Cricetulus griseus: one gene and its partners. The protein of the gene in region 3 interacts with the protein of the main gene of each other region in a biochemical or structural test. Links are inferred from orthologs where the notes say so. Each region holds a gene or a part of one and is shown on either strand. Other genes may lie near its edges.

Region 1 (3,598 bases), about 84 Mb from region 3:
ATTCCCAGCAACCACATGGTGGCTGACAACCATCTATAATGAGATCTGATGCCCTCTTCTGGTCTGCAGGCACACATGAAGACAGAACACTGTATCCATAATAAATAAATCAATCTTTAAAAAAAAAAAAAAAAAAGATTCCAGCAACCCCCTCCTCCCAAAAAACTACTAAAGATGAGAAAAACCTCTTATTTTAATGTGTATATTTGTATAGGCATGGACATTCTTGTGTGTGTCTGGTGTTCGTTGGAGGCCAGAGGACAACTGGGAGTCAGTTCCTCCGTCTACTGTTGTGGGTTCCAGGAACTGAGCTCAAGTTTGGTGCCAGTCATGGAGCTATCCTATTTGCCCAGAAGAACATTTATAATTAAAAGATCAGTTCATCAGGAAGACATGATAATTAATATAATTAAGATTTCTTTTTATTTTATATGTATGAGTACTGCCTGCATGTATGTCTGGGTACCGTGTGCAAGGATTACATATGGAGGTCAGAAGAGGGTGTCAGATACTCTGGAATTGGAATTGTAAATGATTTTGAGCCAGGAGTTGGTGGCGACACAAGCCTTTAATCCTAGCATTTGGACACAGAGACAGGTGAACCTCTTTGAGTTCGTGTGCATGCTAGAAACTAAAGCCAGGTCCTCTGCAAGGGCAGTAATTTGTTTTGGTTTTTGGTTTTTTTTCCAAGATAGGATTTCTCTGTGTAGCCATGGCTGTCCTGGTACTTGCTCTGTAGGCCAGGCTGGCCTTGAATTCACATGGGTCTGCCTGCCTCTACCTCTGCCTCTGCCTCTGCCTCTGCCTCTGCCTCTGCCTCTGCCTCCTAAGTGCTAGGATTAAAGGCATGCTCCACCACCACCTGACCCATTATCTTTAAATATACAAGACTACATCACTAAATTGAAATTGTTTGGAATCTATAGATCATGTCAAAATTCTAGCAAGTTTCTTTTCTTTTTTCTTTTTCCTTTTTTTTTTTTTTTTTTTTTGCAAATTGACAAACTCATAAAACTTACGTAGAAAAATGTGGGGGAGATTGTTTTGTATGTATGTATGTGCACCATAATGTGCCTAGTACCTTCAGAAGCCAAAAGAGGGCATTGGATGTCCAAAACTGGAATTTGGTCTATATTCTGGTTGTGAGTTGTTGTATAAGTGCTGGGACCTAACACCTAACATTGAACCTAAGAGCAGCCACTGTTCTTAACCACTGAGCCATCTCCAGCCTGAGGACTCAACTTAAAACTCATTATAAAATGACAATCATCATTACAGATGATAATGACTTAGAAACAGATAAGCAGCTAGGGATATATCTCAGTGGTAAAGTGTCTAGCTTACATGGTAGAATGAGAAAACAGAGTCCTGTGGGTTGTTCTCTGACCTCCACACATGTGCCATGTAGTGTGTACAATAACATGCAAAATATTTTTTTAATTTTTAAATTTAAAAGGTATTTAAATGAAATCTAATGGACTCTAATTCTTTGGGAGCTTGTGTTCATGATTCTATCATGATAAAGAGTATTATCTTGGGGTTGGGAGTCAAATAGTATAGTAACTGGATATATATTTTCTGCATTTAAATCATGGCAATAAAGGAGGAAATACATATAATAATGCTGAGTATGATAATGTATACCCATCATCCAGTATTGGGGAGGCCTAGGCAGGGGAATCTTGAGTTCAACATCAAGTGGGGTTAAATAGACTGTCTCAAAGAAAACCAGGGGCTGGGCATAGTGGCACATACCTTTAAGCCCAGTACTCAGGAGGCAAAGACAGACATCTGAGTTCAAGGCCAGCCTGGTCTAAAGAGAAGTTCCAAGACAGCAGAGCCAGAACTACACAGTTCAGAAACCTTGTCTCGAAAAAGAAAGAAAACAAAAAGGGGGGAGCGTATAAGCCTATAATAATGCCCAATACTTGAAGGTGGAGGCAGGAAGATCAGGAGTTCTAGGCCAAACTCAGCTACCTAGGGCATTCAAGGCCATTTTGGACTAAAAGAATCTCTCAAACAAGGTAGGTATAATAATGCACTCATAATCCAATCACATCAGGGACAGAGAAAAGAGTTGAGTTTCAGGATACCCTGGACTACATAAGAGTTTTAAGCAAGTCCTAAACAACCAAGGTCTGGGCATGTTAGTACAAGTCTTTAATCCCAGCAATTGGGAAACAGAGGCAGGTGGATCTCTCTGAGTTCCAGGCTAGTCTTCGGAGCAGGTGGCAAAACAAGTTTTTATGTCCATTTTTTTCTTCTCTGGTGTTAAGATTCAAGCCAAGTTTTAGAAGTGCAAAAGGTAGAGAATTAAATCTATTTTAGATGTGAGGGGAAGCTGGCAAAGTATGGTATGGCATCTTAGGCACTTGTTATGCAGCTGCTCTGGAGACAGAGTCTTGAAGATTCCTAGAGACCAGGATTTGGGGGCTAGCCTTGGAAACATAGTCATACACCCTCTAAAAGAATTCTCAGAAAAAGTTTTACAGAAGCCATTTAGCTGAGTCCTCACAGATGAATGATCAAACTTAACTGCCTTCAAAGATGGAATTTCTCCTGTTGTTACATATTTAATAAGAATGAAATTGTTGGACCAGGCATAGTGAGGCATGCCCTTTCTTTAGTTCTACCACTCCAGGCATAGAAGGCAGATGTCTGAGTTCAAGGCCAGCTAGTGAGACAACATAGTGAGGCCCTAAAGAGAGAGACTGTCTTACTTGAGCCACCTTGAGCATTTATGTTTTAGGTAGCAGTTACAAAGTTAAGAAAATACAGATCATTTGATGAAAGTAGATAATTTGCTCTTTTTAGATGCAAAAGAAAACAATCTTTGGGACATAAATATTAAGGTGTCATTCATGTACATAACTAATGTTTGAATGGGTTTTTTTTGTTTATCCTAATTCTGCCTTTAGTTCTTGACTCTTCCAGAATATTGTTACCTCATACTTCAAAATTTCTCATTGTAGGTAGGAGGTCAAAAGAAGAAATTTATCCTTAGGTCTTGCTTCTAGTCAATAGTTAATGCTGTCATCTCTATAAATGGTTTGCCTGTACCTCTAGTAGAAAGAGAATCATATTTATGGGTCCTGAAACCACTGGGAACGCTATCTCTTATCTCTTTGGGTAGTAGAAATATTAGGTATTAATTTCACATGTCCTGAGTTTTTTGTGTCTGAAACCTAAAAATCTCTTTTCTAGGTATGGTCTGTCTGGCAGCGATGTCCTAGATAATGTAGCATATGCTCGAGGGTTCAACACAGACCACCAAACCCAGCTCCTTTATCAAGCATCAGCCATGATGGTAGAATCCAGGTATGTATTCAATAAAAGACATTTAAATGTATCCCCATAGCCCTTTCCTGAATCTGCATAATAATTTGAATAGAAATGGGAGACATTTAAATTTTAGGGATTTTAAGAGGGGGCATTGTTTGGTTTGTGGTTTTTGTTTGTTTGGGTTTGGGGAGGTAGTTTAAGACAGGGTTTCTATGTGCAGCCCTAGCTGTCCTGGAACTCCACTCTGTAGAACAGGCTGGCCTTGAGCTCAGAGATCCATCTGTCTCTGCCCCCCAAGTACTGGGATTAAAGGTGT
Region 2 (4,225 bases), on a different chromosome or scaffold from region 3:
AAGTGCCAATTCCGGCCCAGGCATTGTTCTAGGTCCTTGAAGGCCTGCTGGGAAGAAGGCCAGTATGGCTCTGTCATGCCACTGGGAAGACAGATAATAAACACACACACACAAACCGACGCCCTGACTTTAAAATGGCAAATACAACATTGCCAAGCAAGGAAGTGACATGTCTGCTTTCAAGACACCCAACCAGTGTCCCCATCCTGCACTGCAGCAGTGGTCACTGGACAAGGGACAGCACATCTCAGAGCCTTGACCTCTAGGACATTGGTAGAGTTCCCTGGAATGCAGTGGTTCACAGTTACCCCTAGATCACAGCACCTAGAACTGTCTCTATACCACAAAATCCACTCACCCCCCCTTTTTTAAGATGGGGTCTTGCTGGCTTTCACTAGGTAACCAAGGATAACCCTTAACTCCTCATTCTCCTGTTTAGCTCCCCAAGTACTGGGATTACAGATGTGTGTTCCGATTGCCTGGCTTTGATTGTTGAGAGTATGATTAAATGATTCCTTCTCTCTGGAAGGTATATGTTGAGTTTTCTGTCTGTAACAAGCCACTTTCCTGAAGAAGGCCTCAGGTTCCTTGTTTATAAAATGGAGACATTGGGAGGAGAAAAATAAGATGGACACACTAGTCTCAGACTGTTGTATTACTACCAACTCTGCCTGGTTAGTCTTCCATTGATCCCAAATTGTACTCGTACTGACTTGGCCTGGATTGGTAGGTAATCAGATTTTTTTTTTTAAAAAAAAATTCAGACAGCAGGCAGGACCCAGAAGTGCTTCTTTAAGCCATAGCTGGATCTGCACTGAACTCTAAAAGCCCAGAATTAGAACTGAGCACAAAAGGCAGGGCCTATGGAGGTCCCAGAGTCTTGGTTCCCATGAGACCAGCTCCGTATCCTGCCTGCGGGGTTCTCTGAGCATCCTTTTCAGACATTCCAGGTCCTTACCCTGGGACTGCACGCCACACCCCCTGTGTCTCATTCCCAGAAACAGCTTTCCTACCCCACCCCACCCCAGTCCCTTACTGCTGGTTATCAAGCTTCAGTCATTGGACACCATTTATTGAGCCCCTGTGGAGTGCTCTGTCCTGTACAAAGCATTGCAGGGAGGGAGGGCATATCATGGAATAGAGGGCCATGTTGTTCAGGGCCGTGAAGTCCCAGAAACCCTGTCTATGCCTCTGGGTGGTAGAGAGGCAAAAGGAGCTGGGACCATCTTCTCCCTCTGCTCGATATTAGATACCAGATGGGCTTGCCCCTTCTCATACACTCTCCCCTACGAGAGAGGGGCATGCAAGTGGGTAAGAAGGAACATTGGTGGCCTAGTGACTACTTTGGAGACCTACACTGGCTAGATGTGGGTCTGAAAGTCAGGGTCCACACTTCTACCTCCTGGTAATCGTGCATGGCATGTGAGCTGGTGTCCTTGTGCTGAGGCCCAGGAGAGTGCCTCTGATACTGGAAACAATTCTTCCCTAAGAATCTCTGACTGCAAGTGGCCTCTGCCCTGCATTTTCCAGGCTGTCAATAGCTGTAAGAGTATAAAGCCAGTGACTGCCTACACTTTATGGCTCTTAAACTCTCATTATCCATACTCCCCACCCTGGCCGGGAGGGGTGTGTGTGTCACCCTCTGTAGCTTCTTAGGCTGTGCATGCCCTCTTGTGGCTATTGGTGGGCATTTTCCTCTGCTCAGATTTGCAGCTGGCTTCCCTCTGGCCTTGAGGGGTAGTTTGCTAAGACATTTTGGCAATTACCTGCAGTGGGCCCACAAGCTTTGTGCTGTGCCTTATGGTCAAGCTTTTGCAAGAGCCCCAAAAGAGGAGTACAAAGACAACGTTTGTGGAGCACCGCTCTCTGTTCTGGAAACTTCTCTTCCTGCTGGTGGGCATTACTTCCCAGGGTCCAGTTTCCCAGAAATACTGAAGTGCCTCACTAGATTTCTGATCTTGAAAAAAGGCTGGAACATAGGTGCTTTCTCTCTTGTGACCTGATCTCCAGTGCAGTCTCTGAACTGACTGAGGAAGAAGACACAGATGAGACCAGCCTGGTGGGGGCAGGCGCCCTAAAGAATGACGTGGCTTCTAACACCTGTCCTGTTCTCCCTTTCACCTGCCCAGTCTTTGTCACCAAGTATCCATGTGGGGCCTGGATCACTCCTGGAGCCCTGCAAAACAGTACTCATATCCCCTCTTTGCAGACCAGGGGAGAGCTGTTTGGGGACCTTTGCTGTCATTCTGCCGCCACCCTGGCCCCTGGAACTAAGAGCGATTGGAATTGTTCAGGGACTTGAAATGCCAGCAACTCTGCCTGTGCCCATGGGCAGCACGAGAGGCAAAAGAAGCCAGGAACACCCTTCCTCCTATGCTGGAGTTGGCTATTGGATGACTTTGTTCCTTTCCAGGGACATTTATCCCTGTGGACTAGGGAGGAACACAGGCCAGGGGCCTTGGACACAGGGTCTTGGAGTCTCCTAACTCTCTTAACTTGCCCTAGTCTATGTGTCCAGCCCCCATTTCCTAGCAGGTGGACTCATGAAGATCAGATAGAGGCAGTGGCAGACACAACAGAGAACTGGGTGTGGGTGGTGAAGGAAGCTTGGCAGCTGGGAAGAGCATATTTAGAGGCTCCTGGAGGCCCAGGTGACCCTCTTGGCTCTTTCTGGCTACTCTTCTGCAGCCTGGCTTCCCTCTGCCTTTTGCTCCTCTGGTTGTACACGACCTCCTCTGGCCTGATTCTCGCCTCCTCCTTGGTCAACAGTTGTCTCCAACTCTCCCTCACTATTCCCGCCCCCTTTCTCCTCCTCCCATGCTCCCGCCTCTTGCCTCTCACTGCCTGCCTTTGCCTTCTCTGTTGCAGCCCCCTGGGTCTCAGGCCTCTCTGCACGGCGGTAGATGAGGTAGCCAGTTGCAGGAAGCCCATGGGCCAGGGCTTCAGGGGGCAGACGATGGTAGCCCTGGTCCTTGTAGAGGAAGAGGCCGAATGCATCAGGATGGGTCACTCGGAACTTGGTGGCACAGAGTTGGCTCAGGGTGGCAATTGATGACCCTGGGGGTACTGCCAGGGTCTTGGAGGTGCAGCCTGTGCTGGGGTCCTGGTAGGCTACTCGGAGGAGGTGCTGTGCAGAAGACAAGAACAAGCCCTCAGCTATGCTGGGTGGTCACCTCCAAAGCAGAAGGGACAGGCTGAAGCTGTGCAGGAAGAGGGTGGGGTGGGTGACAAGAGCCCCGTGAGCTCCAAGGGGACACTGGGGCAGAGAGAAATGTGTTTGGGCTAGTGGTGCACGGCCAGCCCAGAGGGAACTTCAGAATCCTGAAGAGGTGGGTCCACTGTGTGCAGGGCTCTTTCTAACTGTTCCTGGGGCTAGTTACTTCCTGCTAACCCCAACATTCACCAGTGCATCTAACCTTCATGGCAGCCCAGATGCCCATTTTAGAGACTGGGAAACCAAGGCACAGGAAAAAAAAAGTGATAGAGCTGGGGCAAAGGTATAGCTACAAAGTCTAGACTCATAGCAAGACTGAGAAGGTTGAAGTTCAAGGTAGTGCACCCTGGCCAAGGCCCAAATGGGAGCATAGATGGAAGCTTGACGACAAGGAAGGTAGAACCTTGTTTGGTATTGGGGACCAAGAAGTTCTCACGCTCCACTTCAGTTTCTACCTCTTTATCTGTAAAATGGGGCAAACAATGCCCTACTTCAGAGTTTCTGTGAAGATTCAAGGAGCTGCCCTGGAGCTCAAAGCCCAGTGCCTGTGGCATGAAACACATTCCCTACACGGGCTGCTCTGATACTTAGATGGGCCTCTATTTCTATTGTAGGCTGATGCAGGGCTAGAGGAACGGTGCTGGGTGATGTCAGAGTCTCTCTGATCGCGGCCAGTTGGGGTAGACATGTGGAAGGGCCCCTTACCTGGAAGTTGTAGGTGGCCGGCAGGCGGCGCTGTTCCCAGAGGGCCAGAGAGCGCTGGAGCTCCTGTGCCGGGCTGAGTGGGAGAGCGCGGGCCTGGCTCAGGCCACTCAACAAGGCCAGGCTGGCCGACAGGCTGGTCAGGTAGTAGCCGCCTAGGAAACAGGGTACAGCTCAGGCTGGAGTAGGGCGTCCTGCCTTCCCTTCCTTACTTGCTCAGGACCTGCTAGCGACTAAGAAGCCTCAGTTCCACCTGGACAGGAAGTGAGGGTGCCCTCACCCTCTCCGGTGAGCAGGGTAGGTTCCAGT
Region 3 (3,647 bases):
AAGCTGGTGTTACAGATGTGTGCTAGTACATGGGTTATGCAGATTGGAACTCAGGTCCTGACAACTCCTCAGCACAACTGCTGAGCCACATCCTCAGGAAAACTTCCAAACACATATGTGGGGCACTTGTGTGCATTGTCCCTGTGCTGGACAGTTTTATGTCAACTTGACATAAGCTAAAGTCATCTGAGAGAAGTGAACCTCAGCATTCGGGAGACAGAGGCAGGTGGATCTCTGGACCCTGTTTGAGTTCTTGTTCCAACTTCCTTTGATGATGAGCTGTGATGTGGAAGCAAAAGCTAAAAAAGCCTTCTCTCTCCAGTTTCTCTGGCCATGGTGTTTCATGTCAGCAGCAGTAGCCAGGGCTGACTAGGATGGTCCCTAAAGTACTTTATGTGTTGTGTGGGTCTGACCATTCAGCTTCTCATCAGTGTGAGTCTGGGGTTAAAAGCACATCTGTTTAAAAAAAAAAAACAAAAAAAACTAACTATAGATTCTGTTGAGTAAATACCCTTTATGAATCCTTATCAGCTAAACTTTGTCCTGCCTGGTCGCACTCAACTAGACCCATGGCCCATCAGCCCATGCTGGGGGCCCCTGGGAGCCTTTGTGAGTTCAAGCACCACCCTCAAAAACAGACTTTAGTGGGTCTGCAGGAGAGTCAGATGCTGGTCCAGCAGTACTCAGAACATAGCTGGCATGCAGGAAACTCCCCACATGGCTGCCAATACCATCCCTGTATATCTCTAGCCACTTCCAGACCCAGCTGCATTGCCCTCACTAAACCTAGAAGAGTGCAAAAACACACTCCGGAAACTACAGGGATCCCAGCTTGGGCCCAGGGACCAAGCCTACAATGAGTGACTCCCAGGCTGCTCTATTTGGCTGAACATTGTTTATTGCCATGTATGTCCTGGAAGATGCCCACAGCACTGTGAAGAACACATGGAAAGGTGGGTTTGCTTCTCGGCAGGCATCCCAGTTTTTTGCCTATCTAAGCAACTGCTGAATGGCTCCCTGGGGGAGAATGGCAGCTCTGGGCAAGAGGTAGATCCCCTTCCCTGGAGCTGGACCACTGAGGAGGGTCTGCTGTTCTCTGCCAGCTCCACTGACAACTGTCTGCTCGCCTTCCCTGGCTTGAAGGGTGAGAAGGCATGGACATACCGCTTTCTCCCAGGCCTTTCATGTGGAGAAGCTCGGGGGCATCAGCTGCGTCTTTCTGCTCTGCAGCTCTCCGGCAGGTCCTGGTCTTGGTGGGCAGCTCTGGGGCCTGCAGCATGCTGCCAGCAGCTCCTCTCGTGCCCCGCTTCCCCAGCTCCTTCTCCACTTCTAAGGATCACACACACACAATCCAGCAGTTGTCAGCAAAGGTGCCGTCTTGAAAGGGATTCTCTTTTTCCTTTCTTTTTTCTAATTTTTTATACATATTTCTTAATCATTTTTTTTTGTGTGTGTGTTTGTGCATATGGGTGTTTTACCCCCTGGGACTGGAATTGTGAGCCACCACCATTTGGGTACTGGGAACTGAGCCTGAGTCCTCTTAGTCACTGAGCTGTCTCCAGATTCCAGGACTCTCTTTTCTTAAGGTCTATGCAGTTAGGGAAAAGGGACAAATGCTGAAGAAAGAGCACAGCATTTTCTAGAACTCTGTGTAACTCCAGAGACACAGGACCAGCCTCTGCGCAGAGTTCTGTCTCTCCCTTGGCCTGGGCACTTTTACAGGAATGAACTAAAGGCCTGTCTAGCCCCAATCCAACTTTTCAATCCACTGCATGCTCCCAGGAGGGACTTTACCATCTGAGATACTGGACTCCTGGAACATGGTTTCAAAGGCTTGGTGGATTTCAGCAAAGGAGGGCCGGTCAGAGGGATTCCACTGCCAACCTGGACAGAAAAGACCCATGTCAGAGCAGGGGGAAGCACTGCTATCAAGCCAGGGCTAGTCATCCCAAGGAACGATCTGGACATGATGGAGGCACTCCAAGCCTGCTAACTGCTAATGCCATGGCAAGTTAAACTGCCAATGCTATTGTGTCCTATTACAGATGTTAAGAATTTTAGAAGAGGTGGGAGGTGGTGGTGCATCCCTTTAATACCAGCAATCAGGAGGCAGAGGCAGGCAGATCTCTGAGAATTAAAGGCCAGCTTGGTCTACACAGCAAGTTTTGAGATAGCCAGAGCTGTTACACAGAGAAACCCTGTCTTGAAAACCTAAAACAAAATAAAACAAACTCTGCACCAACAATCCAGCTTTTAGAAATATCAAGGTTAAGTATAGTGACCTTGGACAAGAGTCTATCTCTGCCTTGTTTATAGCAAACACAGGACCCTCAAGATAGCACTTGCTGCCAAGACTGATAACAAGTTTGATCCCAGGGATCCACATAGTAGAAAAAGATAACTAACTCCTGCAAGCTGTATACTGTGGAATATACAACTACATAAACAAACAAAAACAAATAAATAAAATGTAACAAAAGTAAATGTGTGAAACAGCCAAAAAATCATCACAAGAAGACAGATGAGTAGAAGTTTTAAACACCTGATGTATTGAAGGTGGGGAGCAGGGTGAGGAAAATCAAAATATATGAATAGGGAGCAATGTCTCAAACACACTTCTAAGAAGAAAAAGGTGAGGGAGTGACCATATGAACACAGACGATAAGACTATGTGTAGACACACACCACAGGCAGATAGATGCACACATACACTCACATAAACACCACTAGAGTTCCATCTCCTGGAGCACTTACAGCCAGGTGTGTGGAAGCAGGACCAGGAATCTGCCTACTAATAAGAACCCAGGTTTGGTATTCATCTGATCCTTTTATGCTTAAAAAAATGAAAGCACATGGAGCCGCACGCCTTTAATCCCAGCACTCGGGAGGCAGAGACAGGCGGATCTCTGTGAGTTCGAGACCAGCCTGGTCTACAAGAGCTAGTTCCAGGACAACCTCCAAAGCCACAGGGAAACCCTATCTCGAAAAACAAAATAAATAAAAAGAAAAGAAAGCACACAGGCACAGCAGTGTACACCTAAAACCCGAAAACCTGGGGTCCAAGCAGGAGAGTCACCATGAGTTCCAGGCCAGTCAGAGCTACAGAGTGAGATTCTGATCCACAACAAGAAACAAATCAAAAAATATCCCTCTCAAAGGCAAACGAAAAACAACTCATATGTATGGTATCTGTAAATAAATGCCCTGACAGGCACACAAAAGCCAGACTCCATGAGTGGCTTGGGAGTATGGGAACAGTGCCAAGGGCCCACTGAAACAGCCTTCTGCAGACCTGCACCACTGCAATTTCTTCAGGGCCCATATGTACTTTCTGAACGGGTTGGGGAGGCTCACATGCTCGCATGAGTTCATAGACCTTCTCCGGGCAGCCTTCAGGGCGCTCCATACGGTAGTCTTTTTCCAGCAGCTCATAAACCTGTGACAGGTCAATTCCTGGGTAAGGTGACATGCCATAGGTAGCAATTTCCCAGAGCAATACTCCAAATGCTGAAAGAAAGAAGGGAGAGGAAGACATCAGGGTATGTGAGGTGTTGGCCAGAGAGATGACTCACAGTGGGTAAAGTGTTTGCCTCACAAGCCTAAAGACCTTTTCGATAAGGAACATAACCGTACACAAGATAAGGTTA

Evidence for each region.
Region 1: the proteins of Abl1 (region 3) and Rad51 form a complex in vitro, tested with the Homo sapiens proteins (2 studies listed by BioGRID). The link is inferred for Cricetulus griseus from reciprocal best matches to the Homo sapiens genes ABL1 and RAD51.
Region 2: of the proteins of Abl1 (region 3) and Rin1, one has a biochemical effect on the other in vitro, tested with the Homo sapiens proteins (2 studies listed by BioGRID and IntAct, with this or other methods). The link is inferred for Cricetulus griseus from reciprocal best matches to the Homo sapiens genes ABL1 and RIN1.

What each region holds. Positions count from the first base shown.
Region 1 is NC_048599.1:59,357,691-59,361,288, reverse strand, and holds part of Rad51 (DNA repair protein RAD51 homolog 1), read left to right. Parts: intron 1-3,204; coding exon 3,205-3,318; intron 3,319-3,598.
Region 2 is NC_048596.1:54,230,202-54,234,426, forward strand, and holds the end of Rin1 (ras and Rab interactor 1), read right to left. Parts: coding exon 4,170-4,225; intron 4,072-4,169; coding exon 3,920-4,071; intron 3,128-3,919; coding exon 2,675-3,127; 3' UTR 2,028-2,674; coding exon of another isoform or gene 1,901-2,027; 3' UTR 505-1,900; downstream 1-504. UniProt on the Homo sapiens protein: Ras effector protein, which may serve as an inhibitory modulator of neuronal plasticity in aversive memory formation. Can affect Ras signaling at different levels. First, by competing with RAF1 protein for binding to activated Ras.
Region 3 is NC_048599.1:143,528,097-143,531,743, reverse strand, and holds part of Abl1 (tyrosine-protein kinase ABL1), read right to left. Parts: intron 3,508-3,647; coding exon 3,355-3,507; intron 1,885-3,354; coding exon 1,795-1,884; intron 1,330-1,794; coding exon 1,165-1,329; intron 457-1,164; exon of another isoform or gene 1-456. UniProt on the Homo sapiens protein: Non-receptor tyrosine-protein kinase that plays a role in many key processes linked to cell growth and survival such as cytoskeleton remodeling in response to extracellular stimuli, cell motility and adhesion, receptor endocytosis, autophagy, DNA damage response and apoptosis.